Linked DNA regions of Elephas maximus indicus. Each later gene encodes a partner of the first gene's protein in a complex. Links are inferred from orthologs where the notes say so. Each region holds a gene or a part of one and is shown in the gene's direction. Other genes may lie near its edges.

Region 1 (9,967 bases):
CCTAGAAATATTTAATAAAACATGTATTAGAATCCAAAAAATAATAAGTTAAAAAAAAAAAAACAACTGAGAAACAAGTTTAGATCACAAATAACTATGACTCTAATGAGAAAAATAAAGGAAAAAAAAAAAGGAAAGGGGATTTCTAAAAAGTGCATTTCGGATCAGACAATCACAACACCCCAGGAAGAAGGAGAAGTGAGGGACAGGCATGGACATGGCTGTAACCACACAGGAAGCAGTCTGGCGAACTCTGATTTTGTCAAGAGCATCTGTGAAAGATGGGAAAAGGGCACGTACCCAAGGGAGGAGGCAAAGAGGGGACACAGTCCTGTAAAGCACCACTTCAAGAGAAGAGAGGAAGGGGATTTAGGAAGAAAAGTATATAAATTAGGGAACAAATGATTAATTAAAGATAGGAGAAGGAAACACTGCTCACTGGGGATTTGCTGACTGAATAGCAGGCTTCAACCTACGTGAACTTCACCACCTGCTCCCAGCCAAGGCAGCCCTCTGCTCTTCGAGCTCCCAGAGCACTTGCTGCCTCTGGTACACAAGCCAGAGTGAAGAGAGCAAGGCCAGTTTTCATGTACGCTTTGTGAATACATTCTCTTCACTCCGTGTAATTCCTATCCTTCGTCTACTGCTTTATAATCTAGAAATTGTTTTCACGCACAAGAGCGATCTTTTAAAAGTACAAAGCTGCTTATGTCACCCATACGTACAACCCTTGTGGTTGTTCTTGTTGTTATGTGCGGTCCCATTAAACTTTGGATAAAGACCTTAGCTGGGCCTACACGAGGCCCTGCCTGTCTGGTGCTTGCCTTCCTCTCCATCCTTATCTTGCCACCTCCTCTCACCCCCTGCTGCAGCCTCAATGGTGTACTTTCACTTCTTTGATCCCCATAACCTTTGCTCAGCCTGGAATATTCCCTCTTCCCTCCCCATTGTACTATCCATTCCCAGTCTAAGACCAGCTCCTCTGTGACATGACTTACTGTATTTGCTTGTCCATACATACTGTTTGGGGAGATTATTGATTAATGTCTTCACTGTCAGCTTCCATGAAAACAGGAACCATAGCTGGTTTTGCTTACTTGATGGGGTTTCATTGTTTTTAATTCCTTTTTTATTTACAGGTGAGGAGCCATATTAAAAAAAAAAAAATTTTTTTTTAGAAGAGATTATATCTTCACTTTTCCTCTGTTCACTGAAGAGCCAGTGTTAGTAGGTAATAAGATATTTTGAACTAGAAGTCAAGAAATAGTGAGCTTCAATTTTAGTTCTTGCTCTCATATGAATTCTTCATGTGACCATGGGGTAGTACGTCCTCCCTCTGAGACTATTTCCTCTTTTTTAAGAATTTGAACTTGATGGTATCTGAGGTGCGTCCTTCTCTAAAATATAATTCTAGGTCCTTCAATAGACTAACAACAGAAGGCAGAAGAATTAAACATTAATTTAAGGGAACAAAGGAAAGGAAGAGGCTACACTAAGGAAAAGAGAAGGCCTCCTGTTTGGTTGACTGCATACTAGCTCTGGTGTCTGAAACCCATTTCAGCAATTTGATAACTTTGTGATCCTGAGCAGATTGCTTAATCTCTCTGAACCTCGATATCCTCATCTATAAAATGTGATAAGAACACCTACCTCACAGGTAGGATCAGAGGATTAAATGAGATAATGTATTACAGCACCTGGAACACAGTAGACGATGTTGTGCCCTTTCCTCCCTCCCCTTCACCATCATAGAATTTAAAAGCAGATTATAATTAAATAGAGCATGAGTTGAGACTAAAGGCCCAATTGTCTCTGTAAGCAATGGCTTATGCATTGTTTATTCCTCTGAAGAGGCTTTATACCGCCCAAAAATTAATGAATGCATGTCCTGGAAATTCACAGAGAAAAGTCTTGTTTCTCTCTGCATTCAAGTGATTCTGTTAGATTCAATCATATGCAATGATTCTAAAGTTGGTCTAAAAATGTTTACAAGCATTTCCTGTCTTCCTGGTACAATGGCAAGAACAAGACTCGGGTTCCCATCCAGGCTCCACTCCTGACCATGTGCTCAATACCTTCCTCCTGTTCCTGTATGTCACAGAACAAAATGAGATTAGGGAAGAAAGGGAAATATATTTCAAATCTTCTCTTTTTTTATCTTTTTTTTTTTTTTTTAACAAGAGTCCAAAATCACCAAATAGAGTGTTTGAGGTGGGAAAGACCTTAAGAATGATCTGTTTCGGCCCTGTCACTTGGTATTGGTGGTGAGAAGAGACTCAGAAACCAGAGTTCAAGTACTGGTTCTGTCAGTTTTGTGATCTTAGATTAGTCACTTAACCTGTTCAAGGGTCCTCAGCAAAGAAAAATGGATAATAATAGCTACCTCTTACAGATGCAATGAGAAGTCAGTAAGGCATAGCAGTTAAGAGCTCTTTGTGAACTCTAAAGCAGTTTCAAATGAAAAGCATCATCATGATTCTTTGGACGTACCATCTCTCACCTGGTAAAGCATATCCACTAACTTGCCAACATCCATCATCTCATCTTGCATATCTAATTTTTTGAATCACGAAAGAAAAACACCGGTGCCTAACAAAATGCCTGGCATGGAATAAGTGCACAATAATTTTTTCTGAATGATTTTTGTAAAAATAACTCAAGAAGGGCTTTTCATGGTCTCCTGAGAGCCAAGAAGTATGTACATGAAGACACTGAGAGCTCCTGTCATAGGACAGCCCACCCCCTACATATCCTAGACTCCATTAGAGATACACCAAGTGTATTCTTCTCTCCACTCCTTAGAAAGATGTGGTCTTAGAGGTAAGCAAGGTTACTTACAGGTCAGCCTCCTTCACCCTCGTGCAAACAAGGCTCCCAAAAACAAAGCAAGGGCCTCTCCCACCCTGAACTTTATCCACCTTGTTTTTCCTTGAAAAACCAAGTCCAAGGAGGTCAAGTGAAGGAAAATGTTGGGAGATACCCCAACCTGAGTTAGCTTTCTAGAGAAAACTAAACTCTTTTTGAGAAACTCAACAACCACTTTTGGGGATTTCTTTACAGTGGAGGAGCGATAAAGGCCAGGACGGACGTTGCTGCTGATGGTGGAAGCAAGGGTGATTTCCTGGATTACCAAAAAGGTGGTATGCTTTGCTCCCACGGGCTAAATAAATGCCTTCAGGGATTCAATAATGACCTTCAACTGGAATTTTTCTCCCTGTTGAAGTTTTCAAGCTCATATTTTCCTAAGAACTATATCCTCTTCAGTGAACCAAGGCGTTACAACTGGAGCCATCATTAGTGTCATTATTTGTGTAGCAGCCCACATTCACAATGTGCTTTGAAATTGTTTCTTAATAATAGTCCTAACAAGATGCACCAGAGGCAGAGCGGGTGACTAGGATTAACATTTCTGTATTGCCTGAAGGGGAACTAAATGTGAAGAGTTGACTGTCATCCTTGTTCACCCAAGGGTCAATCCAAAGACACCCAAACTCTGTCTCAACTTGATCCTACATTTAGAGTACCTTCTTCCAGGGTGCCAGTTGTTTCTGTGGCTCTTGTTTATAACTATTACAACACCAAGTCTACAACCAGGAGGAACTGGGCTACTGAGAGAGTAAGCAACAGAATCAAAGATTTTTGCAGTTATAATAGACCTGATTGATCATCTAACCAAGTCCAATATTCTCAGTTAAACAGTCCCAGAGAGTTTACCAAACTCGCACAAACCACCCCACTTCCAGTTCTGTGATTTTTTTGCCTTTTTATATCATGTTTTATACCATATGTATCAAAGGCCTCACCTTTCTCTCTCTGCTTTTTCTCTCCTCTGCCCTTTTCTTCCATCCATTTACTTTACTTAAATTTGTGTGGTTCAAACTCCCACTAAGAAACCTGAAACATTCATCTGCTAAGCAGCCTGGTGTTTTATCACCTGAACTGGGCTGGCCTCAGGATACCAAAAAGCCTTTAATAGTAACAATGAGACATCACTGATGTAACCTCCCTCAGCCTCCTTTTGAGGTCCCTGAGTCCCCCAGTTCCCCGAGGATGTCCTGTTGGCTGCACTGCAGACTTGTAAGATACTGCTGCTGAGACCCCAGCCACTGGTCTCTGCCCAGGGTCTTACCCGCTCCTCCCCAAGGGTGCAGCTACCCTTACACACCATGGGTTGATCCTGGAGAAGCCCAGGCTTCTCTTTGGGTTCTGGCAGAGGCCTGCTTTGCTGAGACATGGCTAGGGCAGGGAGTTCTCTGTCACCTCTGTCAGAAATGAGTTGACAGTATTCAGAGGAGCAAAGGATTAAAACTTTTGTGGTCAAATATCACTTCTCTATTCTGCCTAACCAGGAGATCATCACCTCCTGCTCAGAGTGATTTATGTCTTATTTAAGCAAACCTCTCTCCAAGAAAGATGTGTCATCAGTTCCCTTTCAGCCTGCGCACAATAAACAAATGAAGCCAAGACACCCACTACAGCTACTAAGCCCCCTCCAACGCTAACCACTGTAACTTCCTCCCCTCACTGCATATTTTTAGAAGCTTAATACGTTTTCTGCTCTTCTTCCCTTTTTCTAAGACTGCATGTTTATAATTGTATAGAGCAAAGCAATAAGTCAATAAGCCTAGTGAATAAAAAAAAAGTCCTGGGATCTCTGCAAATAATTTGGCAATACCATCAACTATACAATCTGTCTTATTTTAGCCAGTATCAAGTTGATTCAAAAAGAATTCTCTCCTGTAAATTCCCTGGTGACGTAGTCATTGCCACACCTACTTAAGACAAGACAATTACAAAAGGCGAAGCAGCCTGACTCGGTCTTAGTTCTCCTGGCAGAGAAGGAATCACTTCATTGGCGCTCCAGTCGGCAAAGGTATCGTCCTTATCACGTGTTTCTCTTTTTAAATATTTTTTGTTTTTTTTCTTGGCTGCTGTCTCTCAAACTGCCTTCTATGAAGCAATAACCTCTCTCTTCCTTTCTTGTCCCTCCCTGGTTTGGGATGTGAGCGAGAATCACAGTCAGATCTCAGAAAATCTCTCATTCTGCTGGGGAACCCCAAGGACAGAGGAATTGGCTTCTTATGAGGGCGTTGGTGGGCACATCTGAGCCTTCCCTCTGAAGGAAATTTCTCTACCAAAAATTATCAGGAAAAGAGCTGGAAATTTCCACCTGTCTTTCTCTTACATCTGTGTAAGATAAATATCTCATTCTGGTGACTTTTAGTTCCCTCGATGCCTGCTATGTGCAGTGCATTGGGCTGGGCATGTAAGGGATACCAAGATAAATAAAACAGATTCTAAAAAGGCTACAGTCCAGTGAAGGAGGTAGGTATAAATAAAAACAGAGCGAGAGAGTGAACAAGAAGAATAGGGGAAATGCTGAGTGTGGGCTAAGTCAATTCAGTCAAGTCTCCCAAGAAACATAGAGTGGAGTTGGCTCCATCTGATTCAAAGGTTGGCTGAGCCGACAGCCAGTGTTCTCTGTTGCAGAAAATCAAGATGGCCAAAGTTCCTGACCTGTTTGAAGACCTGAAGGACTGTTACAGGTAAGAAATAGATTCTATCTCTTGTGATTTAACAAAGGGATCAAGTCTCATTAGAATCCCGCTAGGAGTTACGGTGACCAACATGGGGTCAGATCAGCAGAGAGTGTGGAGAACACTACTTCTGAATTCTGTGCAAGTTCAGCTGAAGACTCAGGGAAATCAAGCATCCAGCGTGTTAAACTGAGATTGCACTGACAGGGAGACAGTCATTTTAGAAAAATGATTTTTGAAGTCTACCGAGTTCTACACGAATTTCAACATCTACTTAAGCACAGCCCCAATTGAGCTCAATGCCCTGATACAGTAATGGGTTTTCATGGATGAGAAAGAAGCCATTCTCATGCAAACTTCTTATCCCAATCAGGATCAGGAGTTGGCTACACAGCAATTCGAGCTTGTGAATGCACACACACACTCAAACTTCATTCAGACATAGGAGAAAGATAAAGAAATAAAAAATTGAAATTACAGAACATTTTAAACACTTATGGCATTCTCACTACCTATAACATACACTAATACAAACTAGCCTATCAAAATGCTACCTGAATATTTTGCCAAATATAAATTATTAAATCTACTTTGTAGAACCCAGGAAAACAATGTGCAACATATGATTAAACATTTGGTTTAAAAAAATGGAGATGTTTCAAAAGTTTTTCTTTTCTCTTGAGGAACTTAACATTTTTTCCTGACGTTCAATAAAAACTCTTTAATTTGTTAGCCAAACCCAGTTTTTATAGATGAAGCACAGGTAAAGTCCAAGCCCTGTCCTGATTATTCCTAACTGCAAATTAGTACGGAATGAATTACTGTATGTATGTGTGTGTCTAGAAGTCCTTTAATTTTCAAAGATGACAGTAATGTCCAAGTGTGTGTGTTACCCAAAGCTAATGTGGTCATTAAAATAAGTTGCCCAGTGACCGTAGGGAAATAAACAGAATTACATTCTCATCATCTTGTTTTGACAGTGAAAATGAAGAATACAGTTCCAACAATGACACCCTCTCTCTGATTCAGGTAAGCAAATGATTGCAACTCCTAGGGCACTGGTATTTTTATACAGTAGTTTCTCACCAGGAGAGAATAATGACTTGGGCCGTCGATACTTTTGTTTTACATCCACTAAAGGTCCAGAAACTTGCATTTCTTCATTACAAGTGAGACCAGCTGCCTCTCTAAACTAACAGTTAATGGCATTCCTCATGCTCACCACCTTGCCCAGAACAGAGCAGAACTTTCCTGAAGCCACAAGGACCACAGCCTCCTGGGTCAGGCTTCATCAGAACATCAGTTATGCCATCCTGAAGCAGCCCCTTCAGGTCACTTCACTAGGTGTCTGTCTCCTAAAGTGAGGTTAGGTAGAGCCCTCCAAACATAATAGCCCATGAAGTAGAAGAAGCAGACCAATTGAAAGTGAGAAATCTGCAGCCACTCACCTGGAGTCCACAAGTAGGTGGGATAAGTTCTGCCGTGTGTATTTCTGGTACCGACTGCCAAAGCTGTTCTCAGAGGAACATTTCTAAAGCAGAGGTCAAGCAGAGATTACCATAACCTCCTGAGCAGGAACCAATTTGAAGACTACCACTCACGAAGATCGCTTGTTAACCTATTTTATTACAATATCTCAGTTGTGAGTCCTTGCACATGGATGACAAAGTCTCGCCCAAGAGATCACATCCTTTTAGGGACATCCTAGAAGAAAGAAAGGGAGGGAAGCAAGGAGGGAAGGGAGGAAGAAAGAGAAAAGCGAGGAAGGTAGGAGGGAGGGAAGGAGCAGGAGAAGACTGATGAAACATAGGTTACCCAAGACCAAAATGGAGACCCTTCTCACTAAGTCAGTTGGACAAGATTCCTACTGAAAAGTGTGTCATTCATTCCACAGCCATGGCAGCCTCTCAGTATCCATTTTCTTCTTTACAGAAATCCTTCTATGATGCAAACTATGGCCCACTTCAGGAGGTCTGCATGGATAAATTTATGTCACTGAGTACCTCTGAAACCTCTAAGATAGCCAAACCTGCCTTCAAGGAGAGTGTGGCAGTGGTGTCAGCCACAGGGAAGATTCTGAAGAAGAGACGACTAAGTTTAAATCAGCCCATCACTGATGAAGACCTGGAGGCCATTGCCAATGATCCAGAAGAAGGTAAGAGGTCAAGCCAATCATGTCCATTTTTAAATAAATAGGGACAATAGAGTATTAAGGGAAATAAAACTTAGAGTAGCAGAAGGGCAACCAGACCTTAGTCCAGTAACATAAGGAAGGAAAATTAATTTTTCTCCTTCTCTAAAGCAGAGACAGCAGCAGTGACCTGAGTGTAGAATACTTGCCCACAGGCTCATTTACTGATCGTATTATAAAGCTCGTGTGACTTTTAGCCTTTCAGGGGGAAAAGTAACTATATACTGTTAGTGGGTGACCACTTACAAGATATGTTCCTCCATTCACTAGTTATGCTCCCGTGGCCAAGTTATTAAACCTTTCTCTACTGTAAAATGGAGATAATCAGAGTTTTTACCTCACTGTATTATCATGAAGATTAAATGAGTGAACACCCCCCAACTCCTGGACTAGAATAATGCCTGGTGCATAGTACCCAAAAAAACCAAACCAAACCCATTGCCACTGAGTCGATTCCAACTCATAGCAACTCTATAGGACAGAGTAGAACTGCCCCATAGGGTTTCCAAGGAGCACCTGGTGGATTTGAACTGCCGACCTTTTAGTTAGCAGCCATAGTTCTTAACCACTGTGCCAACAGGTTTTCCTGGTAAGCACCCAAAAAATGTCAGCTATTATTATCGCAATTATTCCTTTGTTGTTATTACTACTACTACAGTTAATACTTCTATTAATACCACCAATACTACATTAATTTATTAATGCCTGAATTATATATAAACCTCACAATAACCCTACATTCTCATTTGACATGTGAGAAAAGTAAGCTCGGCGAGATAAGTGACCTGCCCAAAGACATGCAGCCTGTAAGTGGGAGAGTTCCAAATCAAATTCAGTTCTACCTGACTTAAAAAAAAAAAAATGATTTTTCTCTCATGCCTTTACTGTACAAGCCTCCACATGTAACATAAACCCATTATTCCTGTTTTTAAGATAACATCTAAACAAAAATGCATGTACACCTAGGAAGTTGAAAAATGCAAGAAAATATTTTTTTAAAAAAATCAAAATCACTCATACTACCACTCAAGAGTTTACCACTGCCAACACTATGGTATACTTCCTTAAAGTATTTTCTATACACATACACATACATAAACAAACGTGTTTGTTATTAGGATCACACTATATACAATTTTATATCTGGCCCTTTTCACGTAGCAACGTGTCAAGGACATTTTGGAGTGCCAATTTTTCAGCAGTGTAAGTGACGTGGCAATGAACATTTGTATCAACAAACCTTCATTTCCATCAGCATTTGTTTCCTAAGAAGAGATTCCCAGAAGCGGAATTACTCAGAGCTCTGAGGATTTGTGAAGCTATTGATACATACCACTTTCTAGAAAAGTAATAGACATTTAGACCTGCACCCTCAATGGCATATACAATTCTTAATCAATTCTTTTCTTTTTTTTCTGAGTACATTCATTTGAAAATATAGATGCGGAATACTTCTAGTCTTCCCGGTTACTTAGAAACCTCCCAACAAGCAAAAATAAGGAAGTTTCACAAATAATTTTGGGGGGGGATGGGGGCGAGGGGGAGATGATTGCCTGAGGAATCAAAGCTTAAAAACCACTTCTACTGCTGCCTGGGTAGTTTCACTTCTCTAACAGTTTCCCACCTGGACGGGAATATTCCTAATATCCCTCCCCCAGCTACTTTCTGCAATTACATGAGGGTATATACATCATCTATGTTTGCACCTAGACATTAATCTGAGCTTGTGGTAATGGTTTTAGAAATCATCGAGAGCAAATCAGCATTTTCCACCTTCCAGAACAAAGTGAAATACGGCTTTACAAAGACCATCAAAAGCCAGTGCATCCTGAACGACATCCTTGCTCAAAGTTTAATTCGAGACCCAACAGGTCCATACCTCAAGGCTGCTGCTTTAAATAACCTGGACAATGCAGGTAAATGGCCAGCTCTGTTGTTCCCCTGCCTCTTATTTCTTTACTTCTTTCAGATTTCTACTCTCAAAGAATAAACCTCTCTAGATTCCTGGCTTTGTTTAATTCTAGAATCTGATGAAACCCATAACCCCTGGTAAAACTCCCAGGCAGGGACAGGAGTTTTAGCAAAATCTGGAAACTCCACATGAGGTGTTGCCTGTCTCTGAGAGCACTTAGTGGAATACAAAGCTTGCTGATACACTATCTCATTTGAATCTCTCTGATTTTAAAGATGAAGAACCTGAGTCTCAGAAATATTACAAGACTTACTCAGATTTACCCAG
Region 2 (10,470 bases), on another chromosome or scaffold:
GGTTAGATGCGTAATCGATAGACTGCTAGGCTAGCTCGTTGTTGTTTGCGGGCTGTTTGGCCAGTCCGCCTGCTCACCCAGCCTGCCTTTTCCTTCTTTTCGTCTATGCCACCACAGCTGCCGCTGCCGCTGCCGCTGCCGCCGCCGACGCCGCCGTGTCCCGCTCGACGTCCAAAACAAAATGGCCACCACGCCCCGTGCGGAGTGGGGCCGGCTAAAATGGCGTCGACGCTATTACGTCAGGCGTCAGATCCACGCACAACTAGGGGGCGGGAAAGACTTTTGCTACTTGGGCACGAGGCTGAGGGGCGGAGCCGCAGGGAGGAGGCGGAGCTTTAGTAAAAGGCCCTGTTTGTGTTACACCAAGCGCTCCGACCGCGGAGGGGCGTGGCCAATGGCCCTAGTGTTGAGGCTTGACGGGGCCTTCACGTTGGAGGCGCCTCGGTTTAGGAGCTGTAGACCCCTGGAGTCCTTCGTAGTCAGGGCCACTGAGACGGATTCAGTCTCGAAGAAAAATGTTTTCGTATCCCCTTGTTTACTCCTTCCCTCCTAAGATAGACCGTCTAAGTCTGACCGTCTAAAAATCTTTCCGCGGAATTTTACTCCACCTCTTGCAGATCACGGAGCCGGGCTGTCCGCTCAACCCCATTCTCCCTATTTTGGGAGTTGAGAACACTTTCCCGGTTCCTGCGCCATTCACCGCTTCCCGTCCGTATTAACCTCTCCACTTCTTTCCGTCCCCAATTTGGCCCGAATATTGCTTAGTCCTTATTTGGGGAGATCTTTGCGTCCCTGCTCACCCTTTCATGTCCTCCCTCTCCACCTGCCAGCCATGTGAATTTTGACACAGTTCTATAAAGGGACTTTTTTTATGTCTGGATACACAACAGAGTGCTCAGATATTTGAGACATGAGTGAATGAACACATCTTCAACCCTTCCTCCACCTTACTTATGCATCAGATTCTTTTATTTCTCTTCCTAGCACTTGTGTGTATGTGTTTTAATGGCCCGGTATCCTTGCTGGACTTTAGCCATGTGAGAGTAAGGATGGTGTTTGTTTTGTTCACTGCTGTATCCTAAGTTCCTACACAATGTCTGGCACATGGTACCAGTTACCAGTTGCCTTGAGTCCTTCTGACTCATGGCGACCCCATGTGTGTCAGAGTAGAACTGTGCTCCACAGGTTTTCAATGGCTGATTTTTCAGAAGCAGATCAGCAGGACTTTCTTTTGAGGCACCTCTGAGTGGACTCTAATCTTTATCCTTTCAGTTGGTAGTCAAGCGCTTTAACCTTTATGCCACCCAGGGACTCCCTAAAAAAAACCACGACCATAGGGACCCTATAGGACAGAGTAGAATTGCCCCATAGGGTTTCCAATCAGATTCGAACTGCCGACCTTTTGGTTAGCAACCGTAGCTGTGCCACCTCCTTAAGCACATTGGTAGGTCCTTAGTAAATACTGGTTAATGTTGAATGGAGATTCTTTTTCTGGCTTTATAGCCAAGAAGCTGATGTCTCTTCCACTTAACAGCTGGAACCCTAAAACCCCACATTGCTGGGCCTTGAGCATTCCTCAAGTAGGAGGATGTAATGCAAGTGACCTCTTTCCGAATAAGACCCTTCCCCAAGTAAGGCTCCTCCCCAAATAAGGCTAGTCCTGAGTGAGCAGTCTTTACTTCTCCACCCACTTCTGGACCCCAGAGGAGACAGACAGCAGATGGCTGGCGAGAGAGAAGCCTTTAATGAGAGAGGAGTTGCAGGCCTGACCTGCTACTCTTGCGCCCTTGATGGGGAATGGGGAATGTGGGGAGGGAAAAGTGGGGTGAGGGGAAAGTGGGGTGAATGGGCAGGTCCGGCACTGTAGAGGGGAAGGGCGCTGCTCACTGGGGCTGCCTGCTCAGCTGCTCTCCCAGAAGAAGTTGTTACAGGCCACAGTGAGGGCAGCCACCAGCACCACATACTCCTGGAAGTCCACCTCCCCGTCTCCATTCTCATCTAGCTCCTTCATCACCTTGTCCACAGCGTCGGCATCCTTCTGGGCCTGCCAAGGGAGGAAAGGAAGGGGCAGGTGTACAAGGAGTATAGGGGCCTAGCACTGAGTCAGTGTTAAGGGAATAGTTGATTGGGGAGAAGGAGACAGAGGTGAGCAAGAGGGAGAGCTACATCCAATGGAGCTCCTCTGCTCCCCTCCTCAAAAGTAACAAACATTTATGAACTGGTTGCCTAGAGAATAAGCTCCTTAACATGGCAGAGAAATAGTATTAGCAGAAATTACCAAACGTTGAGTGCCTACAATGAGCCAAGCAATACACTAGGAGTTTACACGCATTATCTGATTTAAATCTTAAGAAAAATAATATGAGGTAAGTTTCATTATTCCTATTTTAGAAGAAAAAAATTGTCAGTCAGTGGTTAAGTAATGTGCCCAAAGTCACAAAGCTAGAAAGTGGTGGGGTTAGAATTTGAACCTAGATCTAATCAAACCTCAAAGCCTGTGCACTTTCTACTGTGCCTGTGGCTTCTTCTTTACTACTGACCCCTGTTAGCATCTGCGGCCTAATTATCTGTATGTTGCACTCCAGTCAAACTACTGAGCAGGTTCCCTATTCTTCTTCTGTCTCCCATGCTTTTGTTCATGCTGTTACCTGCTGTCTACATTTACCCCACTTATCTACCAGTGGAAATCCATGGCTCAAGTGTCACCTGTCTGGAGAAGCTGGCTCACTCTAATCAGGTTAATATTCTGCCACAAACCTTTTTGGGACCCCTGTTAAGGCTCCGTATATTTCCCGTAGTTCATGGTTAACTTTCAAGTGTCAGTCTTTCCCTTCTAGGCTGTGAGCTTTGTTGCTGATGGATCTACACAGGGCCTAGCACTTAGCAGGTGCTCAGTAAACCAGGGCATTTGGACTTGAACCAGGAAAAGCAGGGGAGCCTGGAAAAACGCAGGAGAGGAGCCTGGGAGAGCAGAGAGATGGTTGGGCTGACCTGGGAGTAGGATGAGTAGATGGCAGAAAGGTGCCCACTCCTTGCCCACTCCACCCTGTACCCCCACTCTTTGCTCACGTCCAGGAAGCCGGAGAGCTCAGTCTGCAGCAGCTCTTTCAGCTCCTTCTTGCTCAGCTTGTACTTGTCCCCCTCCTTGCCCGAGTGGGCGTGGAACACGTTGATGAGGGTCTCCATTGCAGTCTCCAGCTCAGAGCCCATTTCGGCAGCTCACCTACCCCCCAAGATGGAAGTGAGCTGGGGACCAAGCCTAGGGTGTCTGGGGCTGGGGTGAGGGGAGTTCTGGCCTCAGGCCTGGTCCGAGGCCAGAATAGCCACGAGATCAGATCCCCACACCTATTTATCTTTCCTTGAGATTTTACAATGTGGGGAAAACCCAAACAGACCTAAATCCAGACCAGATGGAGTCAGGGTTTGGGCATGGAGATAGAGCAGATGGAGCTGGGTTGGCTCTGAAGTCCTGCAGAGGACTGCTGCAGTGGGTCCTGGCTGCCTGGGCAGAGACTGAGGAGGGTGGGGCAGGCAGGAATGGTCACAGGATGTGGCCAGGCTCTATTTTTATCCTGGGCATTGCCTGCGCAGCACAGCCAAGTTCTTTTGTAGGAGGTGGTGGGCTGGGGTCCTCTCCACAACCTTGACTCCACTCCCCAACCCTAGCAAGGAGTTAGTCTGGTGCCCTCAGTGAGCCTGAATGGAGGGGTAGCAGCCAGAGTGAGTGGCCCAAGACTTCTTGGGGGAGGATCTCACCGCCCCTGAGCTTCCTGTCAGCAACCTAGGGAACCCTTTTGGTGCCTCAACTCCATTATCTCCTGAATATGTCATTTTGGCTTCCCTGGGGTATGCCTCCCATTACCTCTAGTTTGGCTCCTCTCACTTCACTGTAGAATCAGCCCCTTCATCAGGTGAGTGGTGGGAAGGGAGCCTTAACCCTTTATCCCTAGAGCCAGGGCTTCCATAAAGGGGCAAGGAGACCTGTAGGGCCTTGTTGTCCCTGCTGCTTTTCATCACCCCTCTCCCCAGGCCCAGCCTGCTCACTGTGGGGACAGTGGGAGCAGGGGGAATGGGGGATGGTGTGTGTTGGAGGAGATAAAGGGCTAAAGGTGAGCGGTCCTTTGAGTTCAAGGGGCTGGGAGAGGAGAATGGAGGGGCCTATTGAGGAGAGGGCTGGGGTGAGGAGCCTGTCAAGCCAGGGGGGCCTCTTTCCCTTGGCCCTGGGAGGACAATCAGCCCCTTCACAGTCTCAGGGGGCAGCTCAGATGTCTCAGATCAGGTGTCCCCATCCTTCCCCAGGCCTGGGGGGCTGGACAATGGGCCCTGATCAGATGACATCCCAGCTCTTCAATGGAATCCTTGTGTGCGTCACCTGAACTCCAGACATGAGAAATGGTTGTCACAGAGACACAGGAGGAGAGGGAACCCAAGCTGGGGCTGATGGAAGGGATAAGGGGGTGTATGAGGGAGGGGTTTTGGGGCTTGATTACCTGCCCCATCCAGGAGGGGTGCCTGGAGGTTGCCTGGAGCTCTTGAGCACCCTGGGATTTTGTGGGGGGGCAGTTCTGAGAGGACCTGGTTGCAGAGTGGGCGGGTGGGGGGAGGGCAGATGGGAAAACAAAGAGTAAAGAATTGGGGGAAAGAGGAGTCTGGAGGTCTGGGCCGAGAAAGGGGAGGTCATGTGCAGGTAGAGTGGGGGGTAGGTACAGTGCCGTAGTGCTCCCTCTTCTGGTATCACATCATCCATGCTCTGCCACCCCGGGACTTCCTGGGACCTGAGCTCTTGGCAGGCTGGGTGGGGGTGGCGGGGGGGGGGGGCAGGCCGAAGCAGCTGTTCTATTTGCTCTCTTATTCTTACCCTACTGGAAACAAGGTGGGGGCTACCAGGTCCCCAAGCCTGCACCTGGGAGATTGTGGGAGCCTTGGGAGGGGACTTGTGGGCTCCTTGTTGGGAGGCCCAGTGGCCCGGAAACTTGCTCAGGGCTGACAGGTTCCCCACTGGTTTCCTCATCTGTTGAGCTCCCAGATTTCCCTCTGACCTTCACTTGGCTGCCTCATCACCTTCCCAATCTTGTCTCCTCCAAATCCCAAACTGCCACCACACTATCTCCTCCCAGACCCTCGGTCCTCCACAATGCCATCATCCCCAGACTCCTAGAACTCCCCTGAAACCCCCTTTCCCCCAAGCTAGCCAGGGAAGGGCCCTAGCCCAGGTGGGGCAGGATACTCACAGTTAGCCTGGGCCTGAGGTGGGAGCAGGTTCTGGACAGACAGATGAGTCTGCAAATGTGGCTACCAGAGCTGTGTCGGGAGACCTGTCTTCAGTCCTCCTTCCCCCGCTGACCCCCCCCCACTGGCTCCACCCCTTCACAGACAGACACCCAGTGGGGCAAAGGGCCAGGAGCGAACAGAGGCGCCCTCTGTCTCCTGGGCTGGAACAGGCTGCCTTGTGTCCTCTTCTCCAGCCTTGGTCTGCCGGCCCCCCCCACCTTCTCCCTTGCTAGGCACCAGCAAGGCGAGGGGGCCACGGAAAAGAGGCCCTGGGAGGGACAGAGATGTCTCACCCCAGCTCAGCTGGCAGCCCCTGTGGCTGGCTGTGCCCCATTGGACAGAGAAAGGGGAGGATCCCTTTGAGGAGGTCTGAGACTGAAGCTCCTCCATAAAGTCTCACTGGGGGGTCCCCTGAGTAATTTAGTCCCAGGAGTCTGCCTGAGGGGCTTCAGTCTGAGACTCCACTGAGGGACTTCAATCCAGGGCCTCCTCTCTGGGGGTCTCGGCCTGGAGCCCTTTTTATGATGTCTTAGTCATGAGTTCGCTGAGAGGATCTTGATTCCTGAGGGACGCTCTGTGGCATTGCTTAGGTTGGGTCTCTCAGCTCTGAGCTCCCTCGGTTGGTTATTTGAATCTGCAGTTGCCTCTCCGCTCTCATCCTATACACTCCTGATTAGATGTGGGGTGTGGTGGGGCTAGGTTGGGGGGCCCCCTGTATTCGGAGGTATAGGATCCCTGCTGGGTGGGATCTATCCAGGCATCTCGCGGCAGGTCCTCCCGTCCTCCCCCAAGTGGGGGCGCTGTGGCGCTGGGTTGCGGGGGGCCCAGGTTCCAGGCTTCATAGCTCAGAGGCGTGATTGGGCGGTACCCTTTCTTCCGAATCATCGACGGAAACTCGACACTTCTGGGCTTGTGAGCGGCTCTCTCCTCCCTCCGCGGGCGCTTATAAACCTCAGCCCGGCAGCTCCCGCTCGCTGCACCCCATCTCCTTGCCCCGGTGAGTCGCGTCCCTCTAACCCTGCAGGGCAGAGCCTGGGACACCCCTTTCCTCCTCGGGCTCTCAGGTCCCTTCCCCGGAGCCAGCTCAGATAGGATTTCAGGAAGTGGTTTAGGGAAATCAAGCAACATTCCCCGCAGGCGGTGGTTGGGAACAGGCGGGGCGTTTGGGAATGTCCCCTTCCTCCAGCCCGCCCCCCTTACCCTCAAGGACTTTGAGTGCCGAAGCCCTCTCTCCCTCCCTTTCTGGGCGCGGGGAGTCAGCGAGTCCCATCGGGGACCCCTGTCACCGGAAACAGGAGAGGAGACGGTCTGTGGGGTCCAGGGCTCAGCCCTGTGCCCAGCTGCTTCAGCACTTGCGCCTGAAGGGAGGCGGAGTGGGGAAATGATGAAGACGGGTTTGCCAGCCCTGACCACAGCTGGGCATTTGCCAGACCCTGGGCTCCTCTGTTGGAAAGAGCGGCCAGAGTGTGTGGCGGAGTGCAGGCGGGTGGAGACCCACGTCTGAACACAAACAAGCTTCGGAAATAAACAACTTTATGACCCTTTGAGGCTGGGTGAGATTCCAAAAGGGCCCTTGGGACTGAAACCCCACAGAAGGGCTGCCAGCCTGAGGGAACTCCACAGAGGGATCCCCAGACTGAGAGAACTCCAAAGAAGGACCCCCAGACTGAGAGCCTCCAACAGAGGGGACTCCAATCTGAGGGGCCACCACAGAAGGGTCCCTAAGACACAAACACTTAAAAAAGGGCCCCTAGAATTCAAAACCTACAGAAGAAAGGGTTTCTGGAGCTGAAATGCCTCCTATCACCCACCTCAACTGAGATGATGTTGCCTGGTCTCCTGCCCTCTCCTTTTTCTACATAATTCCCCTTCTGGGTGGAAGCCTGAGGTGGCAAAGCCAGGGCAGGGAACCCTCTGGCCTATTCTTGGATCCCCTGGTCTCCCTGACTCTCCCTCTGCTCCTTCATCTCCTGCAGGTCAGCCCCTCAGGACACCAGCTCCAGGCCCTGGGTCCTCATGGCAGCAGAGCCACTGACTGAGCTGGAGACCGCCATCGAGACAGTGGTCACCACTTTTTTCACCTTTGCAGGGCGGGAGGGCAGGAAGGACAGCCTCAGCATCAATGAGTTTAAGGAACTGGTCACCCAGCAGTTGCCTCACCTGCTCAAGGTAGGTGAGGGTCTGCAGGACTAAGATTTTGTGAGACAGTGGTTGTGGGTGATATTGTTGAACATGATGGTATGAGCACAAGTGTGATTGTGGGGAAGGGTGCAGATAAATGGTTCTTGATTTTCCTACCTGGGGTGTGTGTGTGTAACTAACTAGGTAACTAAAAAACCTGTTTATGCAAGCGAGAGTGTTACGGGGCTTCATGATCCCTTCAGACCATACTGTTGGCTTCCTGTGTCTAGTCTGTGCCTCTCTGGTCTCATTTCGCAACACAGGACTGGGCCCAGGGCTGGCTTCCAGGAGATTCGTAGGTCATCAGAGCTAGAAGGAGGTCAAGAGAAAACATTGCCCAACTTCCCCACTTCACACATATGGAAACTGAAGTCCAATGGTGCAAAGGGGCTTGTCAAAAATAAAAGTAAAAACAGCCAAATTCATGGAGTCACAGAATCTCAGTATATCAGGGGCTCATAAGGAGGAACTATGATCACTTTCCACCCACTACGGAAATCCCCTCAACATTGTGCCTGACAGGGTCATTCCTTTTCTCCTACTAACAGAAAGGAGTCAGGACTTAAATTTCATTGCCTTTGGGTTGGCACACCATTCCAGGCTGCTGAGTTTCTCTTCCATCCTTTCTGAAAATTCCCAGGCATGTAAAAGTATGAGAATATGGATTTTTTAAAAACACAAATGAATGTTTGAAACTCATAGTCTTTTCTCCGGCAAAATCCCCTTCATCCTTAGACTTCTCAGAGTTTTTTCCTCATCATCTTACTGAAAATCTGGCTCTTGCCTGAAGGTACAGCATTCCCTGTTGCCTTGTCAAGTAATGGCTTTTTTTTTTTCTTCCACATCCAACTCCCTCTGGGCCTGGGAACACAGGAGAAGACCTCTTTGCTTTTCATTGCTGCTTCCAGATTTAAGTTCCTCCTTCTTGCTAAGCACCCTTGCTCTTTGGAAGCCCGTGTATTACCTGCCATCTCTCTTATTGCAGTCTTCATAGCACTTCAGCCCCTGGCTTACTGTTCTTTTTCTCATGATTGCTTCTGTCATTATTCTCGGTGGCCTCAGTATCCCCACAGACAACTCATCCAAAACCTAAATTCCAAAGATTCTGCCCTTCATCTCAGCATCCCATTTCTATGTTCGGACTTTAGACCTTATTACCAAAAAAATGTGCCACCTCCACAATCTTAATTTCAAGCTTTCCTTTCTCTGACTGCCACCTCCTGACTTTCCAAATCTATTCCTCTTTTCCTCCTCCCAGCATTTCCTTTATACCACTGGAACCTCTAATCTCTTGACCCTTTTTTCTTTTTTCATCCTCATCCCTTGTGTCCTTATTAACCTTCTTACTCAACTCCAGTTCTAAAGTTCATTCTTATAATCACTCCCTTAACTTCCTTGCTTCTGTCTCCTTCTGTCCTGCTTGTCTGGTGGCATCCCTGTAACCCATTGCCCTGTTTCGTTGAGTCTGACTCATGGCGACTCCATGTGTTACAGAGTAGAACTGCTCCATAGAGTTTTCTTGGCTATAACCTTAATGGAGGCAGACCACCAGGCCTTTCTTTGGCAGTGCTGCTGGGTGAGTTCGAATTGCTAACCTTTAGGTTAGTAGTAAAACGCAAACTGCTTGCACCACCCAGGTTAAATCCAACACTCTACCTACATTAACTTGCTGATTAACATGCTGGTTAAATCCAGCATCCTGAGTCTGCACTGGTAGAGTGAATCTGACTGGAAAAAACAAACAAATAAACGCACACACACACACACACACACAGCCATGCTGACTTGTCTCACTTAAATCTATAACCACAAACCCCGAGGGGACCCTTGGCAATTCTACAGTTCTTTCATCACTTCATTTACCAGCTCTTTCAGATGGTTAGTTCAAAACTTTCCTCTCTCCTTAGGGTCCAGTACCTCCCCCTCCACATTCTTCTTCTCTCGGTTGATGACTTTGCTTCTTAGTTCACACAGAAAATAGGAGCAATCAAGAAACTTCTCAGTGCTCCCTCTCCCAAATCTGCAACCTGATCAGCACATGCTCTGCCTGTTACCATGAAGGATCTGTCACTGCTCCTAAGGCCAACCCTTTCACTGGTGCCCTGGATCCCATCCCCTCTGGCCTACTTAAAGACTTTATTCTTGCAATTATTCTCCCTCTCTGTCTTGCATCATTAAATGATTCCTCTCTATGGGTCATTCTTATCAGCTTGCACATATGCTGTAATATCTCCCATCTTAAAAAAAAAAGAAAGAAAGAAAACTTCCCTTGGCCCTATAACCCCCTCGAGCTATGCCTTATATCTCTGCTCCCCTTTATAGCAGAATTCCTCAAAAGCAGTGAGAGTTATTTATACTTAGGGCCTTCACTCTCTCCTCTCCTGACACTGTCTGCTCCCCATCCCCCATTTCTTCTTGCATCCATTCTAGTCAGGTTTTCATCCCCACCACCCCACTGCCACTGAAACTTCTCTTGCTACTATTATGAGTGATCTCCTTACTGCTAAATGATCAGTTCATATTCCTTGTTTACATTGTTGAAACATTTTCTTCACTTGGTTTTCTAGATAACAAGTGCTCCTGGTTTTCCTGCTATCTGTGTGGCTGCTCCTCCTTAGTCTTCTTTGCTTTACACATTGAATAAAGTCTAAGAACCTCCTTTTTCCAATCTCTGAATGTTGGTGTGCCTCCAGGCTCAGTTCTTAGACCTGTTTACTCCTTTATCTACATTCACTCCCTTGGTGATCCTATAGCTTTAAGCACCATCTATATGCTGATGATCAAGGATCCCTGGTGGCACAGTGGTTAATAGCTCTACTGCTATTCAAAAGGTCACCAGTTCAAATCTATCAGCCACAGGAAACCCTATGGGGCAGTTCTGTCCTATAGGGTCATTCTTAGTTGGAATCGACTCAAGGGCAACAGATTTGGATTTGGTTTTGGTTTTATATAGTGATGAGTCCCAAATTTATAGTCTGTCTCAGAACTCTTCTCTGGAGTCCAGACTTACACATCCAA

The links.
Region 2: the proteins of IL1A (region 1) and S100A13 are in contact, whole or in part, in an NMR structure (PDB 2L5X), measured with the Homo sapiens proteins. The link is inferred for Elephas maximus indicus from reciprocal best matches to the Homo sapiens genes IL1A and S100A13. Residues at the interface, in NP_000566.3 of Homo sapiens: Asn148, Gln150, Tyr151, Thr194, Ala195, Gln196, Asp197, Leu203, Leu204, Lys205, Glu206, Met207, Gly216, Ser217, Glu218, Thr219, Asn220, His239; in NP_001019381.1 of Homo sapiens: Met1, Arg25, Gln26, Glu27, Gly28, Arg29, Lys30, Asp31, Ser34, Asp68, Ser69, Glu70, Lys72, Phe73.

The regions. Positions count from the first base shown.
Region 1 is NC_064835.1:42,083,049-42,093,015, reverse strand, and holds the start of IL1A (interleukin-1 alpha), read left to right. Parts: upstream 1-5,499; coding exon 5,500-5,546; intron 5,547-6,517; coding exon 6,518-6,566; intron 6,567-7,469; coding exon 7,470-7,692; intron 7,693-9,470; coding exon 9,471-9,644; intron 9,645-9,967. UniProt on the Homo sapiens protein: Cytokine constitutively present intracellularly in nearly all resting non-hematopoietic cells that plays an important role in inflammation and bridges the innate and adaptive immune systems.
Region 2 is NC_064821.1:191,470,825-191,481,294, reverse strand, and holds the start of S100A13 (protein S100-A13), read left to right. Parts: upstream 1-6,132; 5' UTR 6,133-6,268; intron 6,269-6,476; exon of another isoform or gene 6,477-6,824; intron 6,825-7,247; 5' UTR 7,248-7,287; coding exon 7,288-7,440; intron 7,441-10,470. Other genes in the region: S100A1 (protein S100-A1), read right to left, coding at 1,901-2,044, 3,070-3,210. UniProt on the Homo sapiens protein: Plays a role in the export of proteins that lack a signal peptide and are secreted by an alternative pathway. Binds two calcium ions per subunit. Binds one copper ion. Binding of one copper ion does not interfere with calcium binding.